5 linked regions of the Daphnia pulex genome follow. The main gene of each other region encodes a partner of the protein of the gene in region 5 in a complex. Links are inferred from orthologs where the notes say so. Each region holds a gene or a part of one and is shown on either strand. Other genes may lie near its edges.

What was found. The genes of interacting proteins can lie anywhere in the genome.
Region 1: the proteins of regulatory-associated protein of mTOR-like (region 5) and serine/threonine-protein kinase mTOR-like are in contact, whole or in part, in a cryo-EM structure (PDB 6BCU), measured with the Homo sapiens proteins. The link is inferred for Daphnia pulex from reciprocal best matches to the Homo sapiens genes RPTOR and MTOR. Residues at the interface, in NP_065812.1 of Homo sapiens: Phe278, Lys282, Cys283, Ser285, Leu286, Pro288, Gln380, Ala381, Asp383, Leu384, Asp387, Glu411, Gln412, Thr414, Ala415, Val418, Trp419, Thr421, Met422, Arg427, Asn428, Glu431, Gln432, Lys973, Ile974, Asp979, Leu980, Glu981, Ser982, Lys986; in NP_001373429.1 of Homo sapiens: His597, Thr600, Pro632, Val644, Ser645, Gln646, Thr647, Ala648, Val649, Ala653, His686, Ala688, Gln689, Glu691, Met721, Asn722, Pro723, Ala724, Phe725, Met727, Pro728, Phe729, Arg731, Lys732, Leu734, Ile735, Leu738, Thr739, His743, Tyr771.
Region 2: the proteins of regulatory-associated protein of mTOR-like (region 5) and lateral signaling target protein 2 homolog are in contact, whole or in part, in a cryo-EM structure (PDB 9F43), measured with the Homo sapiens proteins. The link is inferred for Daphnia pulex from reciprocal best matches to the Homo sapiens genes RPTOR and ZFYVE28. Residues at the interface, in NP_065812.1 of Homo sapiens: Arg54, Arg305, Arg306, Thr317, Asp321, Phe337, Arg338, Leu341, Ala344, Arg348, Leu437, Gln438, Leu440, Leu441, Ser442, Gln443, Arg446, Pro474, Tyr475, Lys478, Leu479, Gln481, Ser482, Ser483, Ala484; in NP_066023.2 of Homo sapiens: Arg399, Val400, Phe401, Phe402, Met403, Asp404, Asp405, Val406, Glu407.
Region 3: regulatory-associated protein of mTOR-like (region 5) and rapamycin-insensitive companion of mTOR-like share a complex: the UniProt entries of both Homo sapiens proteins name them as parts of the mechanistic target of rapamycin complex. The link is inferred for Daphnia pulex from reciprocal best matches to the Homo sapiens genes RPTOR and RICTOR.
Region 4: regulatory-associated protein of mTOR-like (region 5) and target of rapamycin complex 2 subunit MAPKAP1-like share a complex: the UniProt entries of both Homo sapiens proteins name them as parts of the mechanistic target of rapamycin complex. The link is inferred for Daphnia pulex from reciprocal best matches to the Homo sapiens genes RPTOR and MAPKAP1.

Annotation. Positions count from the first base shown.
Region 1 is NC_060027.1:5,106,129-5,110,155, forward strand, and holds the start of serine/threonine-protein kinase mTOR-like, read left to right. Parts: upstream 1-1,227; 5' UTR 1,228-1,440; intron 1,441-1,556; 5' UTR 1,557-1,563; coding exon 1,564-1,656; intron 1,657-1,734; coding exon 1,735-2,001; intron 2,002-2,084; coding exon 2,085-2,183; intron 2,184-2,248; coding exon 2,249-2,442; intron 2,443-2,501; coding exon 2,502-2,697; intron 2,698-2,763; coding exon 2,764-2,925; intron 2,926-2,986; coding exon 2,987-3,156; intron 3,157-3,218; coding exon 3,219-3,390; intron 3,391-3,453; coding exon 3,454-3,724; intron 3,725-3,797; coding exon 3,798-3,917; intron 3,918-3,994; coding exon 3,995-4,027. Other genes in the region: RING finger and SPRY domain-containing protein 1-like, read right to left, coding at 34-100, 159-344, 408-573, 631-869. UniProt on the Homo sapiens protein: Serine/threonine protein kinase which is a central regulator of cellular metabolism, growth and survival in response to hormones, growth factors, nutrients, energy and stress signals.
Region 2 is NC_060024.1:11,063,000-11,066,973, reverse strand, and holds the start of lateral signaling target protein 2 homolog, read right to left. Parts: upstream 2,801-3,974; 5' UTR 2,357-2,800; coding exon 2,321-2,356; intron 2,245-2,320; coding exon 2,098-2,244; intron 2,033-2,097; coding exon 1,901-2,032; intron 1,836-1,900; coding exon 1,198-1,835; intron 1,121-1,197; coding exon 709-1,120; intron 637-708; coding exon 1-636. Other genes in the region: uncharacterized protein LOC124199533, read left to right, coding at 3,324-3,427, 3,500-3,662, 3,747-3,878. UniProt on the Homo sapiens protein: Negative regulator of epidermal growth factor receptor (EGFR) signaling. Acts by promoting EGFR degradation in endosomes when not monoubiquitinated.
Region 3 is NC_060019.1:11,217,447-11,221,660, forward strand, and holds the start of rapamycin-insensitive companion of mTOR-like, read left to right. Parts: upstream 1-1,414; 5' UTR 1,415-1,547; coding exon 1,548-1,584; intron 1,585-1,708; coding exon 1,709-1,768; intron 1,769-1,844; coding exon 1,845-2,010; intron 2,011-2,073; coding exon 2,074-2,205; intron 2,206-2,270; coding exon 2,271-2,461; intron 2,462-2,526; coding exon 2,527-2,915; intron 2,916-2,984; coding exon 2,985-3,294; intron 3,295-3,361; coding exon 3,362-3,699; intron 3,700-3,760; coding exon 3,761-3,877; intron 3,878-3,955; coding exon 3,956-4,138; intron 4,139-4,207; coding exon 4,208-4,214. Other genes in the region: NAD(P)H-hydrate epimerase, read left to right, coding at 1-70, 143-259, 323-579, 662-743, 809-932. UniProt on the Homo sapiens protein: Component of the mechanistic target of rapamycin complex 2 (mTORC2), which transduces signals from growth factors to pathways involved in proliferation, cytoskeletal organization, lipogenesis and anabolic output.
Region 4 is NC_060023.1:2,534,797-2,538,259, forward strand, and holds target of rapamycin complex 2 subunit MAPKAP1-like, read right to left. Parts: upstream 2,281-3,463; 5' UTR 2,157-2,280; coding exon 2,117-2,156; intron 2,059-2,116; coding exon 1,972-2,058; intron 1,901-1,971; coding exon 1,315-1,900; intron 1,249-1,314; coding exon 950-1,248; intron 890-949; coding exon 552-889; 3' UTR 501-551; downstream 1-500. Other genes in the region: uncharacterized protein LOC124198557, read left to right, coding at 1-412. UniProt on the Homo sapiens protein: Component of the mechanistic target of rapamycin complex 2 (mTORC2), which transduces signals from growth factors to pathways involved in proliferation, cytoskeletal organization, lipogenesis and anabolic output.
Region 5 is NC_060017.1:2,265,809-2,269,822, reverse strand, and holds the start of regulatory-associated protein of mTOR-like, read right to left. Parts: upstream 2,801-4,014; 5' UTR 2,562-2,800; coding exon 2,376-2,561; intron 2,240-2,375; coding exon 2,137-2,239; intron 2,067-2,136; coding exon 1,945-2,066; intron 1,874-1,944; coding exon 1,442-1,873; intron 1,371-1,441; coding exon 1,062-1,370; intron 991-1,061; coding exon 682-990; intron 628-681; coding exon 220-627; intron 147-219; coding exon 1-146. Other genes in the region: uncharacterized protein PB18E9.04c-like, read left to right, coding at 3,205-3,381, 3,441-3,528, 3,588-4,014. UniProt on the Homo sapiens protein: Component of the mechanistic target of rapamycin complex 1 (mTORC1), an evolutionarily conserved central nutrient sensor that stimulates anabolic reactions and macromolecule biosynthesis to promote cellular biomass generation and growth.

The sequences.
Region 1 (4,027 bases), on a different chromosome or scaffold from region 5:
TCCTACAAACTAGTTATAATTATTATTTTTTACTTGTTTGAGCAAATTTCTCAAGAGCAATTAATGAAAACAGTACTACTGGTGGGTGGTTTGATGGATCCTAAAAGATATACATTGTTGAAAATAAAGTGAGACCAAAGATTGATTGTCAGACATACCAGGTTGGCTATAAGGTAATCCAATGTGCTGTCAGTTAGCAAAGCAACACTTGTAGGCCCAGCCAATTTTTCAGCAATGCAGCCCAATGCAATACAAATATTCCTGTGACGATTAGGATCTGATCTTCCCCTTTTACTAGCTTTAGCTGACAGCCAAAACATCCGGGGGACTTTAGTAATGGAATCCTGAAAAAAAAATGGTGAAAATTTAACCTAGCAACAATGTCTAACATATGATTAAAATCTTACCTTTGCTGGTAAGGCACAGTCATCTAGCACCAGAGTGATGACAGCAGGTCCAAGGGGTTCATTAATGGGTATTACATTAACCATGGAATGTAGAACAAGCAACCAACCATGCCCTTTGTTAGAAAGAGCTTGTAATCTTAACATTGAAGGAGGTGTTTCTTGATCACTAAACAAAGAAGGAATAATTAAAGTGGATACATAGGAACATATAATAAAAACATACTTTTCAACTAAATTTCCTATGACAGCTAATGTCTGCAAAACAAGACTGTCAATATGGGGTAGCATTCGCCTCAAGTGTGAGGCCTCAGATGCTGGTATAACATGAGATGGGAAACTTCTGTCTCTATCAACTGAAATATTAGATTGCAGTGGACTTGGGAGGCTGGCAGTTTCTGGTTGAGGCACTGAGAGAGAGGGTAGTTCCCCATCCTTTTCGTCACAACATAAGCATTGTCCCATTTTTAACTGCTTCAGTGGAAATTAAATTTGAACATGTTATTTGAGAGAGATCGTCACTATTCAAACGTGCAATTTGATCTCCATCTTAGTTAAGTTTATAAGTGGGTGTATATGGATTGACCAGGAATGGATTTGACGTTGTTCAACAATTAATTTCAGTAGCACTATTTAACCATGTTATAAATATGGATGGTAATCTAGTATTGAGAAATTCGATGAAAAAGGTATCGTCTGCTGCTTATAACGCGAACATAGATATCCGCTAGGGGCGCTTATAGGAGAGCCATCCTTTCACCGGACATCTAATAGTATCTAATGCCTAATGAGGAGTAACACAATTTGGAGTTTTCTTTTTCTTCCGTCAGATGTCGAAGTCCACAAGTTTGTTTATTAAAATAAGTCATACTGATACTGTAAAGTCTAATTAGTAATTACACGTTGTGGAATTCGCGTATTGCATATTCTTTTTAAAATAAGGCTTATCTTTTTTTGTCGAAGACAAAGAGTTATTTGATTGAATGGAAAAATAACATATAGTGTCCAATTTCAATTTTCGCTAGCGGGGTACGAGGTGATTGGCGACAGTTGACTTTGAATGTTTTCGAACTACTCCTTTGAGTTGTTGCTGATTATGCATTGAATTTATATCAACTGCTTCCTTTATTTTATCCTTTTTATTTATTTCAGTTACAGAATGGCAACCGGAATGATGCAAACATTCATCACTGGGCTTAGATCCAGAAGTGAAGATTTGAGACTAAAGGCTGCCCGAGATTTACACCATTATGTAAGAGAAGGATAAAGAGCTAAATGTTTAAGAAGGAAATAATATAGAATTGTTTTAATGTTGTCTTAATTTGTTTAGGTGACATCTGAGTTAAGAGAGGCATTGCAGGAAGATGTAATTTCATTTGTTGATGATTTGAATCACCATATATTTGACATGGTGTCCAGCTCAGATGTCAATGAAAAGAAAGGTGGCATTCTAGCCATAGTTAGTTTATTGCAAGTAGATGTTGGAAATACCAATGCCAGAATGACTAGATTTGCCAACTATTTGAAAAACTTACTTCCATCTCAGGATGTAGTTGTAATGGAGTTAACTGCAAGGGCACTTGGAAAATTGACACTGGCAAGTTAAACAAAAATCTAAATAGCCTCTACACATAATTAAAACAGATGATAAATATAGATATGCAATTTTTAATAAAACAGGTATCAGGAAGCTACACCGCGGAGTATGTGGAATTTGAAGTAAAACGAGCCTTTGAGTGGCTCAGTGGCGAGAGAAATGAAGGTCGTAGGCATGCAGCGGTAAGTTAAAAATAACATCATTAACGATATGTTGATACCATAAGTTTTAACTCAATTTCTCACAGGTGCTGGTTTTGCGAGAATTGGCTTTATCCATGCCAACTTTCTTTTTCCAGCAAGTCCAGACTTTTTTTGACGTTATTTTTTATGCTGTTCGGGACTCCAAACCAATGATTCGAGAAGGCGCAGTTGCTGCTTTACGCTCTGCTTTAGTCGTCACATCTCAGCGAGAAACTAAAGAAGCTCAAAAGCCTACTTGGTAATAAACAAGCTTGTACAAGTTTAACACATAAAGATATAGTATTAACCATTAATTAGGTATAAACAATGCTTTGACGAGGCCCAACAAGGTTTTGAGGAACCGTTAGCCAAAGATAAAGGACTAACAAAGGACGACAGAGCTCATGGATCTCTTTTGGTTCTTCAAGAGCTTCTACGTTGTTCGAATGCAGAGGGTGAACGACTTCTCGCTGAACTAGAGCAATTAAATTTACTACATTCACAGACTGTTCAGGTTGAATATGCCGATCTTTGTATGACCTGAGCAAATGCGATAATTCTCAATGATTTTTTACCAAAGGATTCTCTAATTTCTACAACTTCCCGAGTGTTGCCGAACGGTGCTGTTGAATTAATCAACACTCCTACACTTTACAATAATCTCCGGCTTTTGCCAGGGCATGTCGCTCAATCAAGGATAGCCAGCGCCGTGTCACCACTATCGATAGTTGCGCCCCAGCAGGTGATTTATAAAATTGATCGCAATACTTCCACTTACCTGAACGAATTTTCTATACAAACAGTACCCTATAGTTGAAAGCGCTGCATGCCGCCAATTGACTGCTGATCATTTTGATGAAATTTGTGCCAACACTCTTCGACATAGCATCTCAAAAAGCAGCCATGTACAAGCAGCTTTGATGGGAATTCTGCCTAGACTGGCTGCCTATGATCGAACCCGATTTTCTGATAGGTATTAAATTTTTGGAAAATTTCTTAAAATGACAAATGACCATACATACTTAATTTCCCCAGGTATTTGGGCCCTTCGATGAGCTACTTGATGGCGTGTTTGACCCGCAAAGAAAAAAATCCTCACCTTGCAATGATAACTATAGGTTATATAGCAGTGTGTATTGAAGGGGATATTGCCACACATCTCCCTGGCATTATTAGTTTTGTTCGGACTTCTCTACCTCAAAATAAAGTAGAGAAACTAAAGAGTGTAAAGAAGAAAAATTCTTTAATTTTCGAAACTTCTCCAAACTAGGACCCATCTTCTACCAAAAAACGCTCCAGTCCCCCTGATATTGCTGTTTTCGTCTGTCTAAGTCTGCTTGGCCGAGCCGTTGGTCGTTCTCATCTAACTAGTGAGTTCAAGGATCTACTGGATCCCATGCTGTCCGTTGGACTTAGTCCTGCCCTGACAACTTGTCTTCGTGAACTGGCCTTGAGAATTCCTCATCTTAAAAAAGACATTGCCGAAGGACTCTTGCGGATGCTTTCACTAGTTTTGATGCACCAACCACTTCGTCATCCAGGCATGGTTTTATTTTAAACAACGAATTTGGAAAAGTACATTCTACTTGAATTAATTTATCCATTCTATTTTAGGAATGCCAAAACATCATATGGCGCTCACTCCAGTGGCACTTCAACCACTACCATCGAATGGGGATGACGTCAATAGCATCGTTTTAGCTCTAAGAACGTTGGGGAGTTTTGATTTTCAAGGTTAAAAAACCAATTTATTTAAAATTCAATGAACGAGAGACGCAGATTTTTCAACATAATTTTGTTTGTGTCGCTAGGTCAACCACTACTTTTACAATTTGTTCGCCATT
Region 2 (3,974 bases), on a different chromosome or scaffold from region 5:
GAAATGTGTCACGTGGAACATGAAGCATCGATTGCAGACGCGGACGGGCTTGACGTGGCCGTAGCGAGGTAAAGGGACAGCGTTAGCACTGCACTTGCCGCAAAAGACTTTCCCACAATTTCGGCAATGATGGCGACGGCGAACGACAGTGAAAACCGATTGACAGGACATGCAGTGTGGCGCCGACTCGTCGGGAATCCAGGCCGGTGGCGTCGAAAGCTGCCCGTCAAGTGGGAATGTGCTGCTGGGGCTGCCCGAGTACGGAGCTACTGTGGTGGCCCGATGCATAGTCAATGGAGGCGTTCCATCCGATGTCTGACTCAGACTGGACGGTGGCGTTTGATCCAGCGAATCCGTTTCGGCGTGATCCGGTTGAAGCAGCCCACTGTCATCGTCGTCGACAGGTGACCCGTCTGGCGACGGTGTCGATTGGCTAAGGCGGAAAGGCACGTTGCTCGGTAGCGAGCTTCGTCTCTCCTCTTCGGACGTCTCCTGCTGGAACTGCTGGCCAGGGAATGTCAAGAATGAGCTGTTGTTGACGTACCAGGCGTCATCTAGCAATGACGCCGAATTGCCGCTGTCCACCTCCTCTTCTCCTTCTTCAGCTTCTTCCACTGGCTCCTCCTCCTCTTCCGTCTGCATGAAAAAATGCACAAGTTTATGATTAAACTGTAAACAACAAAAGCGGGCTAGTAATGTTATTCTGACCGGGGAGGCGTTAATTAGAAAAACAGCCTTGAGGATGGCGCGTAGATCTGATGCGAAGTTGGTCTGCAGCTGATCCGCCACGCCAGAAATGCAGACAAAGAGTCTGTGGATCAAGTCTTCGCTGCTTTTAAATCGGCCCCGAATTTGATTCCGTGAAGCGATTTCGGCCGCTTGCAGGGCCAGCGCTATTTCTTCGTCATCTTGACACTCGGAGGCGGCGGACGTGACAGAGGAGCTGTCGCTATTCGTACCGCATGCTGACGACGTCGTACTAGAACACGAGCTGGTATCGCCTTCGTCATTGGTCCTTCGCTCAACTGTGTGACCAGTCCGGCCTTGGTCTGCGTTGGCCACTTCCGCGGGAGCCGCGTTACTACTGCTGTTGTTCTTTTGTGACAGCTTTCCTGCCACTCTGAATGATGAACGACAATGTTGGCTATTAGGGGGGAAATGGGAAACAAGAACGAAAACAAAATGCAATTGATTTACCTCTGAGTGGTTGGGTAATCCTGATGAAACTTTGTTATGTACTCATCCGTCTTGCACATGGGGTAAGTGCCAGATGAGTCCGACGTCGGAGTTGGGTCCGTGGAACAAAGAGCCTTTTCGAGGAGCTGCAGTTCTTGGCTAGTTAGGGTCCACAGCAGATCGCGAATTTTACACAGTAGATTACGGAAAGGTCGGAAGAGTTCAGACAGCTGCCTTTGAAGATTGAGTGGTCCGTCAGGAAGAACGAGAAGACCACAAACGATGGCAAGCCGCGGGATAGTGAACATCAGCGCGGGATCACAGGCGTCTACCAAGTCTTGGGACAAAAGTCCCAGACTCAAGGCACGTTGTAACGTCTCAGAGAACAGGACAATAATGTCCTGCTGGTGGTTGTACTCGAGCGCTGTTTTAACTGGAACCATAGCGCTGACGTAACTCAGCTCAAATTCAGCGAAGAGCCTATCGAACAAGCATAGGCTTTCGCGTAGCTTGTCGGGAAACTCCATCGAGTTACGGAGGCACTGCTCACGTAGTTGTTCCCGCACCGTCTCCAGCGATTTGGCCAACGCTTTCGCCAAAGGACGCATCACTGCACTTTCCGTTTCTCTATTTAAAATACTTGAACCAGCTGCCAGGCACTGTAAGACAAAAAGAAAAAATGTGATGAGCATGAATTAAGGAGACTAAAACATCAACAGCCAACCTCAGCACCGAACCATAACTGGCCAGCTAGGTTCTCTTGCAACACATCATCAGGAAACTTGGATCTGAAATCCCTGCATGCTCTGTCGATGGGCATCACTTCGTCCATCAACTGACTGCATATTGTCAGCACCTGAAAACGATGACCAAGGTGAAAAATCAATATCACAATTTTCAAGGCTACAAAACTTATCGTACCTTGTCCTGGCACTGCCTTAGCTGGTAAACAAGCGATGCACACCGTTCTGGGTCTTTCCTTCCATCGAAACTATCCAATTCAGTGGCCACTGCATTAAGCTCCTCATCTGCATAGTAAAACTGGGCCAGCAAAGATGTATCATGTTTCTATTGGGAAATGGAAAAGAAATGGCCACATTAAAAACAGGTCTTGGTTGGTGGACAAAATCCTAGACTGAAGAACCTTTGGTTTGTAGAGCCACTTTCGGAGTGAATTCATTTTAATACAGACACAATCTCGTGGGGAACACTCACACTCAACTCCCTCTTCTGTGCGAGGGGTTGATTTCTAGGTTTGGTACAAATTCACCAGCTCACAGCACTACAGCAGCTCTCATTCTCACGACCAAAAACAGAGAGAAACAAGGAGAAACAGACGGACGCAACTAATCATGACGGCGATTCGCTTTCTCTTGTAGAAAACGTCAACCTGTCTGAGTCATCCTCCCTCAAAAACACTGGTCTTATCACTCTCTTGCACTTTGCTCTGTCGTCGGGATTCGACACAAAGAAAGATTACCGATATTCGAGAGGCGAAAATTTAGAACACCTTGGAGGCCACTGGTAAATAAAAAAAAAAGGTTTTCAATGCCAAAGAGAGAAAGAAGTGGGCATTGCAACATACACACACAGTTCTTCTCTCTTGCAATAGTCCCTCGGCAATTGTTCGCTAGGTGGCTAAACCACCAAGTTCAATATATTGCCGCTAGATGTCTTAACTAAAAGAATCGCCGCTTTCTTTTTTAAAAAACTAGTCCGTACGTGTTTAGGTGGAAATTGGAGATTCAAATGCCAATCACTACAATATGTGCATATACCGTCAATCTTTCAATCCAATCAAGTAAAGTTTGACGACTTTATTCCCCTTCAAGTTCTGATCCCAAAGTTATCAATGGACAGCTGATTTTCTATCAACCCTCAGAAAATTGAATCAACGTCCCAGGCGGAGACTAGCCACTAGATATACTATGTACACAGTAGAGAGACGTTGGTTTAAAATTAGCCACCAACCACAAGGAGCTGGACGAAATGTCAAGAACTCGTGTCAGGCTGAACTTGTGTCACCGAAAACTTTTCGAGTCAAGATCGCCGACTGAATATCAATCAAAAACACAATCTTGAGGATATTTGGACGGTATATATAAAGCCCAACGGCGATGGAGTGGAACAAGCCACAACATCACTCGATGTTCATCAATCAGTACGTTCGATACTCTTCTTTTGCCATGGCTGTCCGTCTGTATTTCGTCCTGCTCCTAGTCGTCGTGTCCGCCATGGCCCAGACATTTCAGTTGAGTTCCATTCGATTTCACTTTGTTCACAAATAATTCATTTCCCCGCCAATCTGATTGCCCGAGTGCAGGTACAGCAGAGGCTGGACCAACGGTCGCAAACGTTCCGATCCTTCTTTCGTCCAGCAGCAGCAGCAATGGATCCAGCGCAATGGACACCCCATCGTCGTCCCTGCAGAATTCAGGAGCAATTCCTTCGAGGATTGGAGCCGTTACAGAGTCAACAGCGAAAAGGTATTTCTTATAGTGTGTTCTTGCGTCACTTTTTCTAAAAAGGGATTTCATGCTCATTTCGGTTGGTTGCCATGACGACAACAGGTGAACGAGGACGGAGATTCTTGGCTCGTCCACGTTAGCCATTGCGCCAAATTGGCCACGTCGCTGGGCTCCGTCTTGAAGAACAAGGACGCCAAATCCGACGACAACCCACTCATTGACGTTATTCATTAAGATTATATTTATAGATATAATATTTTGTGTGTGTGAAAAAAAGAAATTCGTCCTCGTTCAATTGAAATGCCCACACGACAAAATTGCGTGTCTACG
Region 3 (4,214 bases), on a different chromosome or scaffold from region 5:
CAATTGCACTTGATGTGGAGCTTTTCAACTATTTTGGAGTCGAACAGTTAATGGAACTGGCAGGATTAAGGTGTAAAGCTTGATAAGCCTTAAAATAATAATTTCTGTAGATTGTATTTAGTTGTTTATTTTCTTTCATCAGTTGTGCATCAGCAATTGCAGAAGGATTTCCAGAATCCAAAAATGTATTGATTGTTGTAGGTCCAGGGAATAATGGAGGAGATGGACTTGTTTGTGCAAGACATTTGAAAATGTTTGGGTATTATAATCTGAGGTACTTGCAGCAGCAGTTTTTTTTACATGTCTCTTATTTCTTTTATAGCTACTGTCCTGAAATCTTCTATCCCAAGCGTACAGCCAAGACTCTCTATGAAAATCTTACAAAGCAGTGTGAACTGTTTGAAATCCCATTTTTAACAGCATGCCCAACTACTGAAGACTTGAATTCAAAATACTCACTTGTTGTCGATGCACTATTTGGCTTTAGCTTCAAAGCTCCTGTCCGAAAGGAATTCACTGAGATTATTGACAATATGCTACACATGTCTACACCCTGCTGCAGTATTGATATTCCCAGTGGTACAGGAATTCATTTGTTCTTATTGTGCTAGCATTTTTCATACATACAAGTGTGCTATTAAATATTGTCTGGTACTTGCAGGCTGGGATGTTGAAAATGGGCCACTTGATCAAGATAATTCCTTAAAGCCAGCCATGCTTATTTCTTTGTCTGCGCCGAAATTGTACAGTATTTACTTCACGTTCATATTATCTCTGGTTCAAAAATAATTAAAGTCGATTATGGCAGGTGCGCAAGATTTTTCCACGGGATCCATTTTTTAGGGGGTCGTTTTATTGCACCTGCATTGGCTACGAAATACAAACTAAAATTACCAAATTATCCTTCAACGCATAATTGCGTAAGATTATAATATGTTTATCAGCAGGGCCCAGCAGAGCCGTAATAAATACACGATTTCAAAAGCAATGTCTTCATATTAATTATTTTATACTAATTAGTATTAAATTATTTTTAATAAAATCTTGTTTGAAAAGATTTTTGGTAAAAAGTTGTCAGCTGTCTGATGGCATAATCTTTGCTACGCGTTTCACAGAAGAATATATTACCGTCAGCAACCTGATTATTCACTAGCTAATACCGGTTCTTCAGGTGTAAAGGTGTAAAAGTAATAATAATTGAACTATCCATCAATGCGCAAGTATCTTACAAGCTTTTTTTAATATTTACAAAAAAAAAATACTTTAAAATCATATTCATGGATCGCGTTTTCAGAAGAAAAATATATATGTTAATTTTTTGTGAAAGAAATTTTTCTCTAATAATGGACTTTTATAAAAAAATTATCAATTAAAAAGTTTATGTTGTGAATGGAACTTTCAAATACGCTATATTCATTCTCTTGTGATACATAACATAGCCCTTATTAGTAATCTAGATTGCTTCATAGAACGGGAGAACACGTTTCGCATTCAAAAAAGTTCAATCGCGCGCGTTTATTCTCTCAGTTGTTTGTCAACCTTCGAAAATGGAGGTGCCTCGACGATTGGGGCGAACTGTCAAACGTAAATTTTTATTTATTTTTTTTGTTTTACTATAGGAAATTAATTTTCCTACAGTATTTCTGTTTTGTGTGCAAGCTTTCTACATTGTTTGATATTTAATCTTGAATCCTGTTTCTTCATCTAGTAAATGCTACTTCAGATGTGCTAGTTTCTTCAGCAATTGTGAATGGTAACCCTCAAACTGGTAAACTACAAATTTATAGACAAATACTTTATTATGTTTTATTGGTGACTGACTTCCTTGTACTATAAATGTCAAGACCTGACTCCCAGCATTAAGGATGCTTTGCTGCAAATGTGCTGCAAAGATGTTGTTACCCTTGGCAAACCTCAACACATAGGATCGGTTTTAAATGTAATCTCAAAGCATATTGAGAAGAAAGGCTGTGACAGCATTGGACTGGACATTTTGGATTTTTTTATATGGTCTCAAAAGAAGAGTTATATACTTTGTTGTGTATCAGTATTGAAAGATCCTTTTTTTTCCAGTCTACGAATTGCTTTGATCAACGACAGCAAAGCCGTAAGAGCTGCTGGTCTAAGGATAATTAGACTGTGCTTAAAAAATGAAGAATATGCACAAAAATTGGTTCAAGCAGATCTTCATTACTTCATTGCAAAGTATTATAAAGAATGAAATATAGAGGAACAAGCATATTAAGCTATATCTTTTGGTTCTCTAATAGGTGTCTGGATGTGCTCGTGGATAACATGGCAGAACGTGCTCAAGCCTTGAGATTATGTAGGAGATTGATGCTGGTTGATCCACCATCATTCCCTGTTGCTCTGGCGCGTTCAATTGTAGCTCTTGCTTTTGATGGCACCAAAGAAAAGGACCGTTTAGTACGAGCATCTTTGGCTATTCTAGCTGAACTTTGTAAGGTTTATTTCTATTAAAAGCCAAATCAAGACATCAATCCATTGAATTCAATCCATTTATAGGTATCGTAAACCCATCCGTGTTCGTTGCCAGCGGAGGTGTTCGATGTTTCTCATCTGCTGTTTTAGATTGCTCCTCTGCTCGTATGCAAGAAGCTATGATGGCATCCCTACTCTACCTATTCGACACAGAGCCGCGACGTGAGCTTTCGAAATTAAACCTGCGATTTCTGATTGCTCCCTATAGTGATTTCCACTATAGACACTACATAGATGCAGGAGAAGGAAACAATTCATCTACTACGACAGATGATCGTGAGCTTCGTCTACTCTGCGCTAAGCAAGCACTGCTTACAGTTCTTAGGTCTTGGAATGGAGTATTACATGTTATGAGCTGCAAAATTCTTGAAGACCTAGTCAAAGTCTTGCTCCCATGTCACTTGGAAACCAGGGCAAGTTCTTTCATCTTGATTGGATAGCTTGGTGGTTTATAATTAAATGACAATTACATTTTCATATAGAAATCAATGTTGGAATTCTTCTATACACTTCTGCGGTTACCACTGCCGGAATGGACGGACGAATTTTCCGTAGCGCTTCTAGCTACTGATCCGTCCCGTGTACAGGACGCCTGGAAGCTGCAGGAAGGCTATGTAGCTGCAGAAGGCAAATGTCTACTACCGCACATTTCCAAATTCAGACCAAATCTTGTATTAAACCATATGGCCTTGTTGGTTTACTGCTTGGTTGAAGCCAGATTAGTCCAGACACTTGTGGAAGTAATTACGACAAGTGACACTTTTATATCGGTCCGAGCAACAATTTTGCTGGGTACACTCTCGCATAATATAATAAATATTAACTATTATTATTAAATTATGAATCTGTTCCTTTTTAGGAGAGTTATTGCATTTAAGTAGTACTTTGCTGCCACCCTCCTGTCACGGGACAAAAATGTGTCTGCCTCAATTAGTTGACTGCATTACGTCACTTAAAAGCGACCCAGTGAAACGCCACCGAGCCGCCCAAGCAGCAGCAGCCCTCTCCAAAATTCACCAACTTAAGAAAAAAGGAATCGTTCCCTACAGTTTAGCTCTTAAACAAATCGTTGAATTAGAAAGAAGAGCATCGTGCAACAAACACTCCTCCGTGAGATACAAGAAAACTGAGGAGAATGCAACCAACATCCATCGAGACGAGACGGAGTTTCAGACCAATGGAGAAATGGAATCAGAGGTATGAATTTGTGTTCGCCCATTATAAAATAAATCAGATTTTAAAAATTTGGAATTTGTAGATGAGATCCAGCAGAGATTCTGATAGCGTTCTTTCAGCACTTTCTCGAGACTGTGGAGTCCTGGCGCAAAAAGATTCATTGATTTGGAACTGGTCCGTTTTATCCAATCTTTTCTTGGTAAAGATTATCTCATAGAAATCCATCTTTTCTTAAATAATCGAATTTTGTATAAACTTGTTATTGATTTATTATTAGTGGAGTAAGATGAATTCTTGCGCGTTGGAAGATTCGAATTTGAGATCGATTTTCCGTCGGGTAATGCAATTCTACAAGCCCACTAGCAATCAGTTTTGTCAATGCGAATTTAATAATAGCCGTATGCGTCTGTATTCGACCGTTGGTTGTTATCTGATGGATTCTCTTACAGTTATTGAAGAGGTAATCTTTTTCTTCTATTTGAATTTATGGTTTGTTATTAAATTTTTTGGTCGATTTTTATTTTTACAGTTGGAAT
Region 4 (3,463 bases), on a different chromosome or scaffold from region 5:
AGACATTCTAAACAAAGTTCTAGTTTCTACTGGAGATAAAGCTCATCAGAAATTTGAGAAACGAACAAGATCAGCCACAAAACAACTGAAGAATGAGAAGTTGCTGTGGAATGAAGAATACAAAAAGAGAAGAGAAGCCTATTTAGATGCAAAGAGTAAGCTTAAAGATGTCTTGAAGGGAAGAGTGCAAATTGAAACAGGCCGATTGAAATCTGAAGATGTAAAGTTTCTAAAGAGCTTACCAGATTTTGCAGCAGTCAACAAGAAAATTGTTTCATATCAAACACGCCACTACATAGGACTCGTACACCTGGAAAAAAATTCCCAACAACTACATCGGTCCTTATCAACGGTTGAGCGTCAACTAGACGAAGTTCAGAGCATGATAGTTCCAACTTTTCAATGGACATAGGACCTTCTCCCATTCCTTTCTGGATAACGACGTCTACAATAATCCTTTCTTCCGCTACATAATCCGCTATACTTTGTAAAAATTGACATTTCGCATTTTAAGGTTTATTAAACAAACAATTGAATTATTAAAATTTCTTTTAACGAATCAGGCTGGCTTTCTTGTTGACGTATGACATGTGATGGAGGTACTCCTGGCGGTAAAGTCCTCCCCGGATTTCTAATATGAATTTTAACTTCGCCACAACTTGTTCGATGGTCTTCGAGTCACACTCAATTCGCAAACGCCTCCATTTTCTTTTATCTGTGTCGTAATACATAATAGCAACTGATGCTGGCAATGTTTGCATAGGAACACAATCTACGATCACTTCAATAGGTAAACGGGTTGGTTTGAGATTGGGCCTTGACCACAGTAAAGTTGTTACAGACCGACTAGTTGGGCAAGGCTTGATCTCCACTTGGTCCCACGAAATTCCTGTGCGAAACGTTATTATTGGATTTGACATGGATAATTTATAACATTTTATTTATTTACCCAAAGTTATTTCCGTGTTTGGCCGAACTTTGTGTAGCAAAAATCCTTTGAACGAATGGTAGTCGGTAGATTCCAGAACAGCCCCACGCTCTTCTGGTTTCTCAGTGTTGAGTTGATCAACTGTTTTATTAGTCTCGACGTCTTTCTTCGCCTCCTTTGGGGGATTGGCAGAGCGAACCAAAGCCAGGGAGGTGAATCCAAACTTCCCAACAACTTCTTTAGGTTCTAGGCAAGGGAAATCGGCATCTGGACTTCCGTCGTCTTCGGCAATGAATAGTGCGTAATTATCCACAGATCCACTAATTGTAAAATATATACTGAACTTAATTAATCTAATTTTTCAAGGGCAAAATTTTAATATTTACGTTAAAGGAGGTTCTCTTTTTTCGTGGCTGTATTTGTAACAAACAAGGCCGATAAGTTCAGAAACCTTTGCCGAAGCCACAACACAAACGGTCATAGGAAAGTTGCGGTCTTCAGCACTTTGCATGCTTAAAAATATCCTTATTGTTCTTGTGGGTGCTCTCAATTGAGAATTCCCATCAAATTTTGCATACTCAATGAATGGCGAATCGGGATCCGAGGCGTGCTCAGCCATAAGTTTAGAAAGGGCAGATTTGGAATTCTGAGCAACCACTTCCTTCTTTTGAAATATCTTGGTCTTTTCACCTTGATCTAGATTGGTCAAATCTGGCTCTTTCCATCTAATGGTACTGATCATGGCGGCTGCTTGCTGTTCTTTCCTCATCTTCTCAAGCCTCACCACTGTGTTAAGCCTTCTCCTCCGAGTTCCAAAGTCATCATTACCATTTCCTAGAGATCTTGTGTGAATTCGTCCATCATCATCAAACTCTTCTTCTGAATCATCTAAATTTCCAAACCACTGTTTTTTACCCTCTTCTCTGATCTTCTTTGGTATATCAGCGTTCTGCAATATCATTTCGCACATGCCTGAATGGAGAGAAACAATGCAATCAGCACTATAGAAAATCAAATGTTCCAAAGAGAATAAAGTAACTCACCAGTATCATCTGAGTACAAGAATGAGTTTCTTACATGGGAAAGAATCCAATATTTGTTGTCATAAAACGCCATAATACTCTGTTGACCTAGAACCCAAATTCGATTTCGATTTGTACGCGCACCAATGAAGTAAGTATATCGTACTTTCGGATAGCGTAGCACTTAGATAATGTGTATAAAACATTGAAGCATTCTGTATTTTTCTTTTTTCATAGAGAAAGGAGACCAAACACCCAACTCTTGCTCTAATGTTATTGTTTTGCCTTTTTAGGGATTTAGTTTTAGGTTGTTTGACATTTTGATTGAGCTTCTGCTATGAGCGCAGTGTTGCCGCATCAAATCAACTGTCTGTTGCGCGAAAACGTCGGCAAAAATTAATAATTTTTTCGGCTAAATTTGTCTTCCATTCCATTTCTTAGATCTTCAAAAACGAATTGGGTAATGCTGTGAGTTTATTTCTTATTAACTTTTTCAGAAGCGAACACTATGTATGGTTCAATTTGATGGGCACGGTCGTATTGAAATTGGTCGAGAAAGAGGTAAAAATGTGTTTTGTTCTTTAAATACTACTTTAACATACTTATCTTTTTCTTTTACCATTTTAATAATGTTATGCCCCGCATCAAAATGATTTCTAATTATTTATTGTTAAATTAAATCATCGAGATCTTCATAATCATCAACACTGAATTTAACCAGAGCTTGGCGTGGTCGATGACGTCGTAGTTGAATCTGTGGTGCTTGTAACAGTAGTTGAGTCGGAAGTGCTTGTGACAGTAGTTGAATCTGTCGTGCTGGTTACAGTACTTGAATCGGTGGTGCTGCTGGCCGTAGTAGTTGAATCTTATTTTGGTAAATATTTTAAAAAATGTATAGTGATCTTAGAATTACGAATGTGGATTCATACTAAGTACTAACCTGATGTGGAAGTTGGCGTCGATCCTGTGGTTGTAGTCGCCGATGTAGTGGTGGAGGCCGGAGTGGTGGAGGAGGCGGTGGTTGAAGCGGCAGTAGTACTGGACGCAGCAGCGGTATTAGATCCTGGACAAACAACAACTCCGGCTGGAAGACAATTTGCGCCTTTCAAAGTGTAAGTAGCTGTCGAAGTTGTGGAAGTTGCGGTTGTCGTCGTTGTGTACACTGTCGATGTACTATAATCGTTCAATGTCATTTTATGATTGACGGTGATATTTTGAATTATGAATTTCTTAAGGAATATCGTGTACCTGGTGACGAGGACGGCCGGAGTCGGTTGCGGTCGGAAAATGCCACTGAAAATGTTGGAGAGAAGAGAAGAAAAGGCGTAAAAAGCGCCGAAAAGCGGATCTGCTACCCTGTAAACTGGCTGATCTGACGGTTTATCGAGCGACGACTGAATACTGAATGGGGAAATGAACTGCGGATTGGACTGGTAGGGGCGGATGGCCATTCCATTACGGTAATCGGGCAATGCGGAAGGCAGAACCCTATTTCAATTATTGACAAATACAA
Region 5 (4,014 bases):
CGAACCAAAGGACTAGCTTCCGAGTTCACAACATTCACCAGTTGTAAGGCCACTGCGTGATCAATTTTGTTGGCAAGTTCATTTCGTTCCGTCTTTCCTCCACTATGGATAAACGTTCCTAGGGCATAAGCAGTGGCCGCTCGAACCTTAACATACATAAACAAATAAGACTGAAATTCGACAGATTTAATGTCATATAATCAACAATGTTGTAAATACCTCAGGAACAGAATCTCGCAACAACGGAAATAGTTTCTCATGAGCGGAGTCTCGAATTGCCGACCAACGAGCAGCTATAGCATTGTGCCAAGCTAAGCCAATTCCAATGACGATCCATTGTCTAAGTAATTTATCCTTTTCATAGACCATTTCCAGGGCATTCGAGATAAAAGCTACTTGAGAAACAGCATCCTGCCCGATAGGATGATTCCAGACCACTCTAGAAATCACAAAGGCGGCCAGCGTGCGCTGATCATCCGGCACGGAATTATCTTGAAGAACAGAGAGGAAATATTTGTGTCCTCCATCACGGACTAAATCCGCTTGACAGGTAACATCAACAGCAAGAATTTTCGTCCAGATAAATAGAAGTAATGGGCGCAGTTCCCGCGCAGAACTTTGAAGTAACTAAAACGAAGATTTCAGTTATCGAGTAGAACATATTAAAATAGAAAAGCAAACCTTTAAAACATATGGAAAAATGCCGACCGACAGCGCCAAATTGACAGCCCAAGGGCCTAAATCTAAAAATCGCCCCAAGAGTTCAAGTGCTCTTAAACGATGAACTTGACTTAAAAGAACTTGCAGAACAATAGGTAGTTGTTCTGGAGGAGATCTCTTTTGTGACCCATGCGAAAGCCAAACTTGGAAAGCCGTCAACTGTTCCTCAAAAAAAGGGGAATTCTGGAAGGTTTCCTTGCCTTCTAAAATGCCTGGTAGCTGTGAGAGGCAAATGTCAAGAGCTAAATCCCAAGCAGACCACATTGGGTGCTAAAATCAAAGAATGCCGAAATTATAAGACATTTAAATAATGTGAAAAGGTAACTTTAAATCCTAATAACCTGAGACGTAGGAGGCAACTTTGGCCAAGAGACTGGCGTGCAGTCATACGACTTAAGTATCCTTTCTGCTAAAAGGAAATTCCGGAAAAGACTAGCCACAAGAAGATCTTGTCTGAAAAGGCGCTGGAACACGTCCCGTGGAAGTGAATTCCAAGCAATCGTATCAGTTATAGCGGTAAAAATCCAATTTAATTCACCCAGCATAGTTCTGCGATCGTTAAGCTGCCCGGGGATTTTGTCGACTGATTCAAGTGTCATTCGGGGCACCAAACGGGAAGTATTTTGTAAAACAAACCATCGAAGTGCAATCTTTTGATATAGGGGAAAAAATGGAATAGTACATTAAATTTCCAATTTATCTTAAAACATATTCTAGTTACCTTAATAGGAGTTGTGAGACATGCAGTAAATATATCAGCTGGCAGTTCGGAATTCATAGGAAGAATCTGATTAGTTGCGCATGCAGCCAACTGAATGCACTGTTTGAAATTCGGAGGTGGTGTCATCTGAGAAGGCAATGTGTTTCTTGATTGAGCCATCAGTTGTTCGTACTCCCTCTGATGCTGATCCGCGAACTGTTGAAACGCGTCCACAATCATGCCAGCGTTTGAACAGTCAAATACGTAAATTGACGGAGACCACATCCAAGTTTGTAGGTCGTAAATCGAGAGCGGTATATATTGCGTATAACTGCGATTGAAGACCCAAATCTCTCCATTGGCAGTTGGTTTCGGAACGCCATGCCCATTGTAGTGAAACAGCACTCTTTCGTCTTTAGCATTTCTTCGGAGAGTAGATGTTACTTTTTTAATCTGACATTTATGAATTACAACATTAATCACAATTATTCTTTTCTAAACAAACAAGAATTTTTCGGTTGTACCTCATCAGCGGTAGGATCTAGAGTTTGCTTGTAGCGAGCACGGGGCTGCCACCTCTCATATTGCTTCTGAAGGTTGATGCCAATTGCTTCTAATGCTTTTTGTGGACTCATAGACAAAGGATCTACACATTGAGGAAAATTGCATTAAAAAAGCAACAACACTACACACACAACCCTTTACAAATCACATACCTATCCAGCATTCTAGCCTTGCACAGGGCTGAGTTTTAACTACATCTGGAGGATCTACTCCAACATTAAGGCATAATATCAATGCCACACTTACTGTTTTCATCTTGAATTTAAAAAAAATAAAAGAAATCCTATTTTATTAAGCCGTACATGCACAATTGTGTGGAGAAAAAATTACAAAATGCTATTTAAATTTTGATTTTGGACGGGAAAGGTAACTTAATAAATGCATGGGTTACCCGATCCTTTAATCTCCAGTTTTGAGCACAATCCTCTAATCCTTCAATTTTATCTGTGTGCCTTTCTGAAGAAAATGCTAATCCAATCGCCCAATCTTCATCTTCTTCATCTTGGCCCTGTTCATCGGGAGAAGGTGAACGTGATGGAGCACGCTGGAAAACCGAGAGCTCCCCCGACATGGTCATCTATTCAACGATTTATCAGATTTCTTATCCAAAAATTTAGATAAATCTGAAAAACCACAAAACAAAACGAACTCTTGATGAGCTACACATTCACCCGACTGGAAGTGACAATATATTCATATTATTACGACACGAATTCAAATTGTTTCTCTTGTTGTGTGAGTGCAGACGGATTTTGGTTTATTTTTTACGACGAAAAAATGAATCCAACACAACTACACAAGGTTGCCATTTTCTATTCGACATAAAATGGAAGCTATCTCATCATTCTCATGCCACAGGCACGCCACAGGCCCACAGAATTCGTAATCGTATACACCCCAATTTTTTTCCTTATTATAAACTTATATATAATTCATGTGTCTGTTTTTTTTAGTATGTTTACTCTCTGGCCCACCATTCCCCTTAAATGTCACCAAAAACAAAATTTACGGAAAAAGTCTGTCTGGTACTCTGGTTACTAAGGAGGTTACGCCTCTCTTAACAGATGTCTCTTCAATAGCGCCGGCTGCGGCGCCAAAACAGACCGAATTTCCATGAAAATTCTTGGTCATGAAGGACGCTTTTGAAAGCCAAAAGCCATTGAAAATTACATGAATAATTGTGTATTCGCTTTCTAATTGTCACATTGAAGTAAAAAGAAATGAACTGGAGTGGTGGATCCAAACACCGTTTCCGGCTAAATACTGAGATTCGTAAAACTGCCTTTCAACAACAGAGTCGCATAATTCTCGTTGACCTCGTGAAGCATGACGATCTTGAACAAACCGGTCAGATTTCCCCAATCAATGGACAGAAGTTTACAATGATTCCTCCTAAAGTAACAGCCAATTTAATGACACTAAAGATGGGAGTATTTATTAAATATGTATTTTGCAGGTAGAGGCAGTTTCAAATGATGATATCTCAATACGTCATTTTGGGATTGGAACTCCATTTCACAACATTCCTTGTGGATCTTCATCAGGTCTACATCAATACATTACTCGATTAAAAAATTTCAAATAATTGTGTTACTCTATATAGATACTGAAGGATCTGGCAATGATGACATATCAATAAGTACAAAATATAGTCCTGTTTCATTAGACCAGGAAAGTACAGCTGAGCATCACATAACAAGCACATCTGAAGAGGAACAAACAAAAGTTCCATTAAGTCACAAGGTTAATGAACTTTATGAGGATTCAAACCCTGGTGAGGTTCTTTTACTACAAGAAAGTTCACCGTCAGGATGTAGTTCATTTCTCAGCAACTCAAATGTTGAATGTCCTTCTCCACCTTATCTCAACCCAAATCCTTACTCTTCAACACCAAATTTGAGTTTTCTAACTCCCGTCATACATCGCGAGAACACTGTAAGACATTCAAGCAAAGATCGACGTTTTTGTCAACAAAATTGGGATAATTCCAACCTTCACAATTTACCGTACTTGACACCCCTTACCGACGA